Linked DNA regions of Saccharomyces cerevisiae S288C. The gene in region 1 interacts genetically with each later gene. Each region holds a gene or a part of one and is shown on either strand. Other genes may lie near its edges.

Region 1 (4,127 bases):
AAATAACTAGAAATGTCATAGACTTTGCCGTTTATAACGCACCATAACTCGTCCTCACCTTTACAATGCTTCTTTACGATTTTTCTGTTTATTCTTAAGGGTGGCATTATTTTATAAAGGGGTATCTTTTGGACAAGCAATTGGTTCTTCAGTTGTGAAGGTGAAAACTTGAAGTTATCTTTTTGAAATACCGGATCATCGAGTAAATCCTGGATAAGCTGTAGCGAAACGAATTTTGTATAATAATTCGCTGGATTGGAGGTTAGAGAGTGCCAGTCCAGAGCACTGTGCCCAGGATCTAGTCTTATTTTGGTTCTTACAAGAGGCTTTCTTGACGACTTCGACATGGGCATATGCAGCGGGGATGATATGGCAGGATGAGCAACGCTTAGTCGCTGAGGAGCAGCGAATCTGACATTTGGTTTCGAGTTTGAAACATCTCTGTTCATGCCGTCACTACTCATATCTCTATGAGTGTAATCTAAGCACCTGCTAATATGTTATATTCTGCTTATTCGTCCTTTTGCTACACATAATTAATGTAACTTTAACTCTAGTTCTATAAAGGATATGATTTGTACTAAATGTAACATTATACGAAAAAACATATTATTCGTTTATATAAACTAATCAAAGAAGTCGTCATCATCTTCGTCGTCATCATTTTTAGCATTCTGCTTGTCAAATGAATTCAGATCTTCGCTGAAATCTTTCCGTTCGAAGATAATCTTACTGTTATTTTGTGAATTTTGTTGCTTGGCGATACCATTCAAGATTGAAACAATTTCAGCTTCAGTGATTTTATGAGTGACGTTGTTTGTAGCAATCAGTTTCTTTAAGTATGTCTCTACTGCTTGGGCCCTGTCTCTACGGACCAAGGCCACTCGAGATAATCTTTCTAAAGCTTGTGGCTCCAAGAAATTTGCAATAGCTGCACCAACGGGAGCGGAATTTTCACCTCCACCATTATTAGCACCGCTATTTCTATCGCCGTTGGTACCCCCACTGTTGTTTTTCAACTGAGCCAATCTGGCTTCCCTAATAGCTTGTAACTCTGGGTCCATATCTGAGCACACACTTCCTCCTGAATTGTAATCCAGAGAGCAAGAAGATTTTTCAACTTTTACTCTTGGTTCTCCTTGTAGAACCACAAGTGGTATAAAAATTCTCGCTTACCCAGCCCAAAAATTCTCATCTGTTTCTCATCTGTTTCTCGTCCGAATAAGTTTCCCGTTCGCAGCTAGGATTTCACCTGCTCACCATAATAGGCAACTTTCTTCCTCATGTAGGAAATTATACTATTGCTCTCTGTTGCAAGGTTATTTTTGAGCCTTAATACCATATTAGTAGATATAAATACATATATATCGTGTTAACCCATAAGTGGTAGTTTTAGTAGCTCGCTGCAAGATCTGCCTCATTCCTTTGTAGAGAACGACGTACCCACTACGCGTTTGAACATTTGCAACAAGCACGAGAGGAAGGAAGAAGAATACCAAGTATAAACGAGAATAATCACCATAGAAAAACCTATAAAAGACACTTCCATTACCATCTGCTAATAATAATACAATGGACACCAGCAAGAAAGATACTACTAGGTCGCCCTCACATTCCAACAGTTCTTCTCCTTCATCTTCTTCTCTCTCTTCATCTTCTTCCAAAGAGAAAAAACGTCCTAAGAGACTATCCTCCCAGAATGTAAATTACGATTTGAAAAGGAGAAAGATCATCACTTCTGAAGGTATAGAAAGATCATTCAAGAACGAGCATAGCAATCTTGCAGTTGAAGACAATATCCCGGAAGAAGAACCCAAGGAACTTCTTGAAAAGGACTCCAAGGGTAATATCATCAAACTTAATGAGCCATCCACCATCTCGGAAGATTCGAAGGTATCTGTCACTGGATTGCCGTTAAATAAAGGTCCTTCTGAGAAAATCAAGCGAGAGTCTCTTTGGAATTATAGAAAAAATTTGGGAGGCCAATCGAACAACTCAGAAATGACGCTGGTCCCCAGTAAAAGATTTACTCAGGTGCCGAAAAATTTTCAGGATTTGAACAGAAATGATTTGAAAACGTTTTTAACTGAGAACATGACTGAAGAGAGCAATATACGGTCAACTATTGGTTGGAATGGCGATATAATAAACAGAACTCGTGACCGTGAACCTGAAAGCGACCGCGATAATAAAAAGCTATCAAATATTAGAACCAAAATAATACTTTCAACGAATGCTACCTATGATTCAAAAAGTAAACTATTTGGCCAAAATTCCATCAAGTCAACATCGAATGCGAGTGAAAAAATTTTCAGGGACAAGAACAATTCAACCATAGATTTTGAGAATGAAGATTTTTGTTCGGCTTGTAATCAGTCAGGTTCTTTTTTATGCTGTGATACATGCCCCAAATCCTTTCACTTTCTTTGCTTAGACCCACCAATTGATCCGAACAACCTGCCTAAAGGTGATTGGCATTGTAATGAATGTAAGTTTAAAATCTTCATAAATAACTCAATGGCAACTTTAAAAAAAATTGAATCCAACTTCATTAAGCAAAATAACAACGTCAAGATTTTTGCTAAATTACTTTTCAATATCGATTCCCACAACCCAAAACAGTTCCAGCTACCAAATTATATAAAAGAAACCTTTCCTGCTGTGAAAACGGGTTCGAGAGGACAATACTCTGATGAGAATGATAAGATTCCATTAACTGATAGACAATTGTTTAACACTTCTTATGGCCAAAGCATAACTAAATTGGACTCTTACAACCCGGATACACATATAGATTCAAATTCAGGTAAGTTTTTAATTTGTTACAAATGCAATCAAACCAGACTAGGTTCATGGTCTCATCCAGAAAATTCAAGATTAATAATGACTTGTGATTATTGTCAGACTCCATGGCATTTGGATTGTGTACCGAGGGCTTCTTTCAAGAACTTAGGTTCAAAATGGAAATGTCCTCTACATTCCCCAACTAAAGTTTACAAAAAGATACACCATTGTCAAGAAGATAATAGCGTAAATTATAAGGTGTGGAAAAAACAACGATTGATAAACAAGAAAAACCAACTTTATTATGAACCTTTACAAAAAATAGGCTACCAAAATAACGGGAACATTCAAATCATACCAACAACTAGTCATACAGATTATGATTTCAATCAAGATTTCAAAATTACACAAATAGATGAAAATTCCATTAAATATGATTTTTTTGATAAAATTTACAAATCAAAAATGGTTCAAAAAAGAAAACTCTTTCAATTTCAAGAAAGTTTAATAGATAAGTTAGTATCAAATGGATCCCAAAATGGCAATAGCGAGGATAATATGGTCAAAGACATAGCCTCTTTAATATATTTCCAAGTTAGCAACAACGACAAGAGTAGTAACAATAAATCGGCTTCCAAAAGCAATAACTTAAGAAAATTATGGGATTTGAAAGAACTGACTAACGTAGTCGTGCCGAACGAACTAGATTCTATACAATTCAATGACTTTTCCAGCGATGAAATAAAGCATCTGTTATATTTAAAGAAGATTATCGAATCCAAACCAAAGGAAGAACTGTTAAAATTTTTAAACATAGAAAATCCCGAAAACCAATCCGAATAGAAACGGCGTACATACATAAAGAATAAATCAGGAACGTGAACACCTTCCTTACATATATACACACATACATAGGCATATGTATCGCATCTTAAAGTGAGAGATCTACCTATTTTCCTTTTTTTTCCATTTACAACATAGCAATTGATGTTTTTTTCCCTTCTAAGTCATCTCGATGTCATCATCTTCATCGTCTTTGTAGTCAACTTCTTTCCTGACCCTCAATTTCTTCATCACAATATTTTCGTGCCCTTTCTTGGTTTCATTTTTGTTAGACGGTGAATAACTGTCATCATCACTGTCTGATTCTCGATCCCCATCACCTTCTTCGTCGTCAGCCTGTGATCTCGCATGATGAACTTTCTTCTTTTTTTTTTGTGATTCATTGTTTTCGTGAGCTAATAACCTCTTTTGAAGCCTTTGTCTTTGAGTTTGTGACGTGTGAAGAATCCGTCCGATTTTAGCTTTTATATTGTTTTGTATTTTTTCAGTCAAGCTCTCTG
Region 2 (4,540 bases), on another chromosome or scaffold:
AAACTCAACTCTTCTGAGGAGTCATTCAACGCTAGGAAAATGTCCAAGGTCAAGCTGCATGAGAAAGGGGAGATAGATAAGCCAACAATGCTGAAATCAAGTGGCCCGATTTCAAAAGACAAAAAAACAAAACCTACCCCACCACCTAAGCCTTCACATTTAAAGCCTAAACCTCCTCCAAAACCACTGCTCCTCGCGGGACGAAAGTTATCCTTGGATAAGTGAGTATTTGGCTCAACAGAACCGGATCGATCTCTGAAGAGGCTGGTAACATGTTCAAAGAACCTTTATTACAATGTGTTATATATGTAAGCATCCACTTTAATGTATACGTTTTCCCATAATACTTAGTAAAACACAGCTTAATGCATTTGTTCATTTCTTTTTCCTATTTTAGATATATTGGATTATACAATGAACATTGTAACAACTTTATTATTATTCAACTTTCATAAGGCATGAAGGTTGCCGAAAAAAAATTATTAATGGCCAGTTTTTCCTCATTCTTCATCACTCCATTCTTCAAACGAATCCAGTATAAAGTCTGTAGCCTCTTCAAATCTTTCTTCAATTATATTGTTTAACCCGTCCGTATCACATCTCAAAACTCTACCGAATTTTTTTCTTGGTTTTCTGCTTTCATTTTCTTTCCAGCATTGGTGGCTATTGTTTGAAAATATAAGTGAGTTTTTGAAGTACCATTCACTCAATGTTTCATCTACTAGAGGAACTAGTGGCTTTAACTGCTTGTCTCCCAAGAAATTAATTACCGTTTTAGTAACAGCCCTAGTATCCCTGTGACCAAGCAGATGTACGATACCTGAGTATGAGTCTCCTATTCCAATAAAAGCAATTTTGGCAACAGAAGGAAAATACTTGATGTAGTTATCCCATAAATATATTAGAACTTCTTGGGATGTAATCATTCCTGAGTAATTGTCAGGTTCAAACAGAGTTAGAGGTATATTTACATCAATGATGCCGTATTTCCTGTCAAGTCCCCATTTGATAAAGTCTAGAGAATTATCAATGATAACTGATGAGGATAAGTCAATTGTACCTGAAATAACATTTCTCTTTGCCCAGATATCAGAAGTATCATGAACGACTATAATTATAGTGTTAGATTCGGAAATGTTTGGAGTACATAGCACTGTATTATCTGGTAAATCCATGCTTACTAACGGTAAAGTAACGAAATTAAATTCGTCGCTTAAATAGTGTTGCTGTTGTTGACGAATAGCCTTCTGCAGAGGAAAATTTTTAGATATTATCGAGTCGTTAATAGGTTCGTTAAAATTACAACCGGAGTTAGCATGTCTCCTTCTAAAACAGTTCCAATACTTGGACTGTAACCGAATTACTTTGTCTATCATTTCTATGACCTCAGGCTTGGGATCACTTAATGGATCAGGTAGTTCATCAGGAGGCTCCCCTATTAGTACTTTTGCTACACTCAAAGCGCTTCTTGCAATCGCATCCAAGTTATATCCACCTTCCAAAACTACACAAAGATTACCTCTAGCTAGAGATTTTAACATATGTGTCATGTGTCCATAACAACTTGGGGTGACATGACATTGTCCGATAGTATCACCATCCGCGGCATCAAACCCTGAAGAAATAATCACCAAGTCAGGCTTGAATTCTCTCCCCATAGGCATAACTACCTGTTCAAATGCCCACATATATTCTGCATCACCAACACCGCCGACCGGCCAAGTAATATTACAATTGAATCCTTCACCCTTACCCTCACCAGTTTGATCATATTGTCCTTGGATGGTCCCAGGATAGTATTTACCCATTTCAAATCTGTGTAATGACACATATAGCACCTGATCGTCTTGATAGAATGACTTTTGTGTGCCATTACCATGATGAATATCCCAATCTAAAATCATTATCCTTCTTACACTTTCTGGGTAGTTCTTTAAGATATTCTTGGCAGCAACAGCAACATTACTGAAGAGACAAAAACCACCCGCAGCTTGAGGCTCTGCATGATGGCCAGGTGGTCTTACGACAGCTAGAGAGTTTTTTACACGCCCCTCGACAACCGCCTTGCATGCTTCAATGGCGCCACCACAAGGCAGCCTAGCACTCGCGTAAGAATCATTATTGAAATATACGGAATCACCTTTTTCAGTCTCTTTTAATAACTCTTCTCGGCTCATTTTTTCTGTGCTTTCAATAAACTCTAAATGTTCCTTTGTATGAACTTCCAAGATTTCTTCGGAGGTTGCGGCTCTTACAGGTATCTTCAGCATTAAATCACCAAGGTCATCCACGCCGCTTAAAGTGGGGTCGTTAATCAGACCATTCTCTGCTAGTATTTTATAAATACGATATATTCTTCTTGGGTCCTCTGGATGTGGATCAATGTACTCGAAGTACGATGTGAAAATCTTTGCATGATACCTCATTCTAACGTCATAGCAAAGACCAGTTTTCAGCGGTGAATAATGGATTTTTGGCATGCAAACGGGAACAATAACCTGCCTTTTACTTTTAGAAGTAGTAGAGAGGCTATTCTCTTCTTCTTTGTTCTCTTCTAGCTTTCTTTTTAAATCATGGTCTGGATTTTCCAGTACTTCTTTCTTAACCATTACAGAATCCATGCTTAATCTGTTCGGCGTATTACAGTGCTCAACTTTCCCTTTCTCAATATTTTGTTATGTGAATTAGGTCACTAAAAATTAAAACATTTAAGAAAAATAAAAGTTCCTTCCACAGACGAAACACTGTATATGCTTCCTCCCAGCTCTATTTACCTAATTAGTGACCTGATTAAACTTTTGGAAAGAAGCATTTTCCTCGAGATTTCCAAACGGTGCGGGAAAATGGCAAGTGAGGAAAAAAAAAACTGGCCTAAAATATTCGATGAGGTTAAGAGAAGAGCTGGTTCTTCACCAAGTGTTTCACTGAGAAGTTAGCTACGAAAAAGCATGAATTTCTACAGGGATGCAACATGGGTGCTAGAAGATATTGAGAAGGAGGCTGCAAAAGAAAGGATTTCCGGCTCTATGCAGACGCTGGTACTGAAAAGCTGTAAAAGATATAAGCTGAAAAGTAATCCAAAACATATTTATGCAGTTCTCGATTCGTGTTGGAAATATAAACCATATTTGGAGAAAGTGATGAAAAAGGCACACATATTGGAAGATATACCCAAGAAAAAGGGCAAACCACTCTTTTCAAGGCTAACTTTGTTATTGCTTTGCCATGATTTGCTGTTGTCTAAGCAGAAAAGAATTCAAATGGGCAAACACCCCATCAAAGATTATGTTTTGAAGTTTAAGAGCCCATTGCATAGCGAAATGGTCAAATTGAAACTCAAATTGAAAGTAAGAGAGCTATCTGAGTTGGTATTAAGCGAGGATATTTCCAATGACCTTCCTCCTGTTAGATGGATTAGAATCAATCCATTAAAATGCCATCCAAATGGTGAGACTGAGCCGGTGTTAGCCGAATTGAGGAAGAAGTTTACTTTAAAGGTAGACAAATGGTCTGAACTAGTTCCTGGGTCTATCTATTATGATGAGTTTATTCCAAACTTGTTTGGAATTCATCCGTCTGACAAAATTACAGCACATGAGCTTTATAAGCATGGGAAGATTATCATTCAAGATCGTGCTTCTTGTTTTCCAGCCCACATTTTGAATCCAGGACCAAGTGATATTGTGATAGATTCCTGCTCTGCTCCAGGTAATAAGACTACCCATACGGCCTCTTATATATATCCCGAACCACCGAAGGACAATAATACTCGAATATACGCTTTCGAGAAGGATCCTGAAAGAGCAAAAGTTTTACAAAAAATGATCAAGATAGCTGGCTGTTCTCCCAACATCAGTGTCAATGTAGGTGATTTTACAAAGCTCGCTACTCCTGAAAAATATAAGGACGTTACTTGTTTTATTGTAGATCCGAGCTGCTCCGGTAGCGGTATATTTGGTCGTAAGTTTTTTGACTCATTTAATAGAAGGAAAATTGATGATAAAGATGACGATGGTGGCATTGTGCCGGATGAGCAAGAGGAGTTTATAGCAAAGGAAGAACTACAGACAAGGTTAGCGAAGCTGAGTTCATTTCAGTTCCAGATGGTAAAGCATGCAATGAGTTTCCCAGCGGCTAAAAAAATAGTATACAGCACATGTTCCATTCATGCGGAAGAAAATGAACGAGTCGTCATAGACCTTCTTTTAGATAAGTCAGTTAGAGAATGGGGTTGGAAAGTAGCGCCAAAAAGAGAAGTTATTCCTTCTTGGCCTAGAAGAGGCAAGGTAGAAGAGTTCGAAGAGGTTTTTAGAGATGGAGTCACCTATGACCCTCAACAGCTTGCCGAGGGTTGTATCAGGGCACTACCAAAAAGTGACGGTGGTATTGGTTTCTTTGCTGTCTGTTTTGAAAGAGATTAAACTTTCAGAACATTCATGTATATATGTGTATATCTGATATGTATTATTGCATTTTTGCTGTAGTACTACGGAAAAGACATTTCAATAATCTATACATCCCGCACATAAAGGAAGATTTT

What was found. A genetic interaction does not mean that the proteins touch.
Region 2: mutations in RCO1 (region 1) and HDA1 together harm fitness more than expected from each alone (negative genetic interaction), as found in Saccharomyces cerevisiae (7 studies listed by BioGRID, with this or other methods).

What each region holds. Positions count from the first base shown.
Region 1 is NC_001145.3:412,410-416,536, forward strand, and holds RCO1 (Rco1p), read left to right. Parts: upstream 1-1,572; coding exon 1,573-3,627; downstream 3,628-4,127. Other genes in the region: IRC21 (Irc21p), read right to left, coding at 1-464; SDD2 (Sdd2p), read right to left, coding at 627-1,064; YMR075C-A (uncharacterized protein), read right to left, coding at 3,279-3,644; sister chromatid cohesion factor PDS5, read right to left, coding at 3,787-4,127. UniProt on the Saccharomyces cerevisiae protein: Catalytic component of the RPD3C(S) histone deacetylase complex responsible for the deacetylation of lysine residues on the N-terminal part of the core histones (H2A, H2B, H3 and H4).
Region 2 is NC_001146.8:591,308-595,847, reverse strand, and holds HDA1 (histone deacetylase HDA1), read right to left. Parts: upstream 2,622-4,540; coding exon 501-2,621; downstream 1-500. Other genes in the region: serine/threonine protein kinase ARK1, read left to right, coding at 1-225; rRNA (cytosine-C5-)-methyltransferase RCM1, read left to right, coding at 2,949-4,421. UniProt on the Saccharomyces cerevisiae protein: Responsible for the deacetylation of lysine residues on the N-terminal part of the core histones (H2A, H2B, H3 and H4).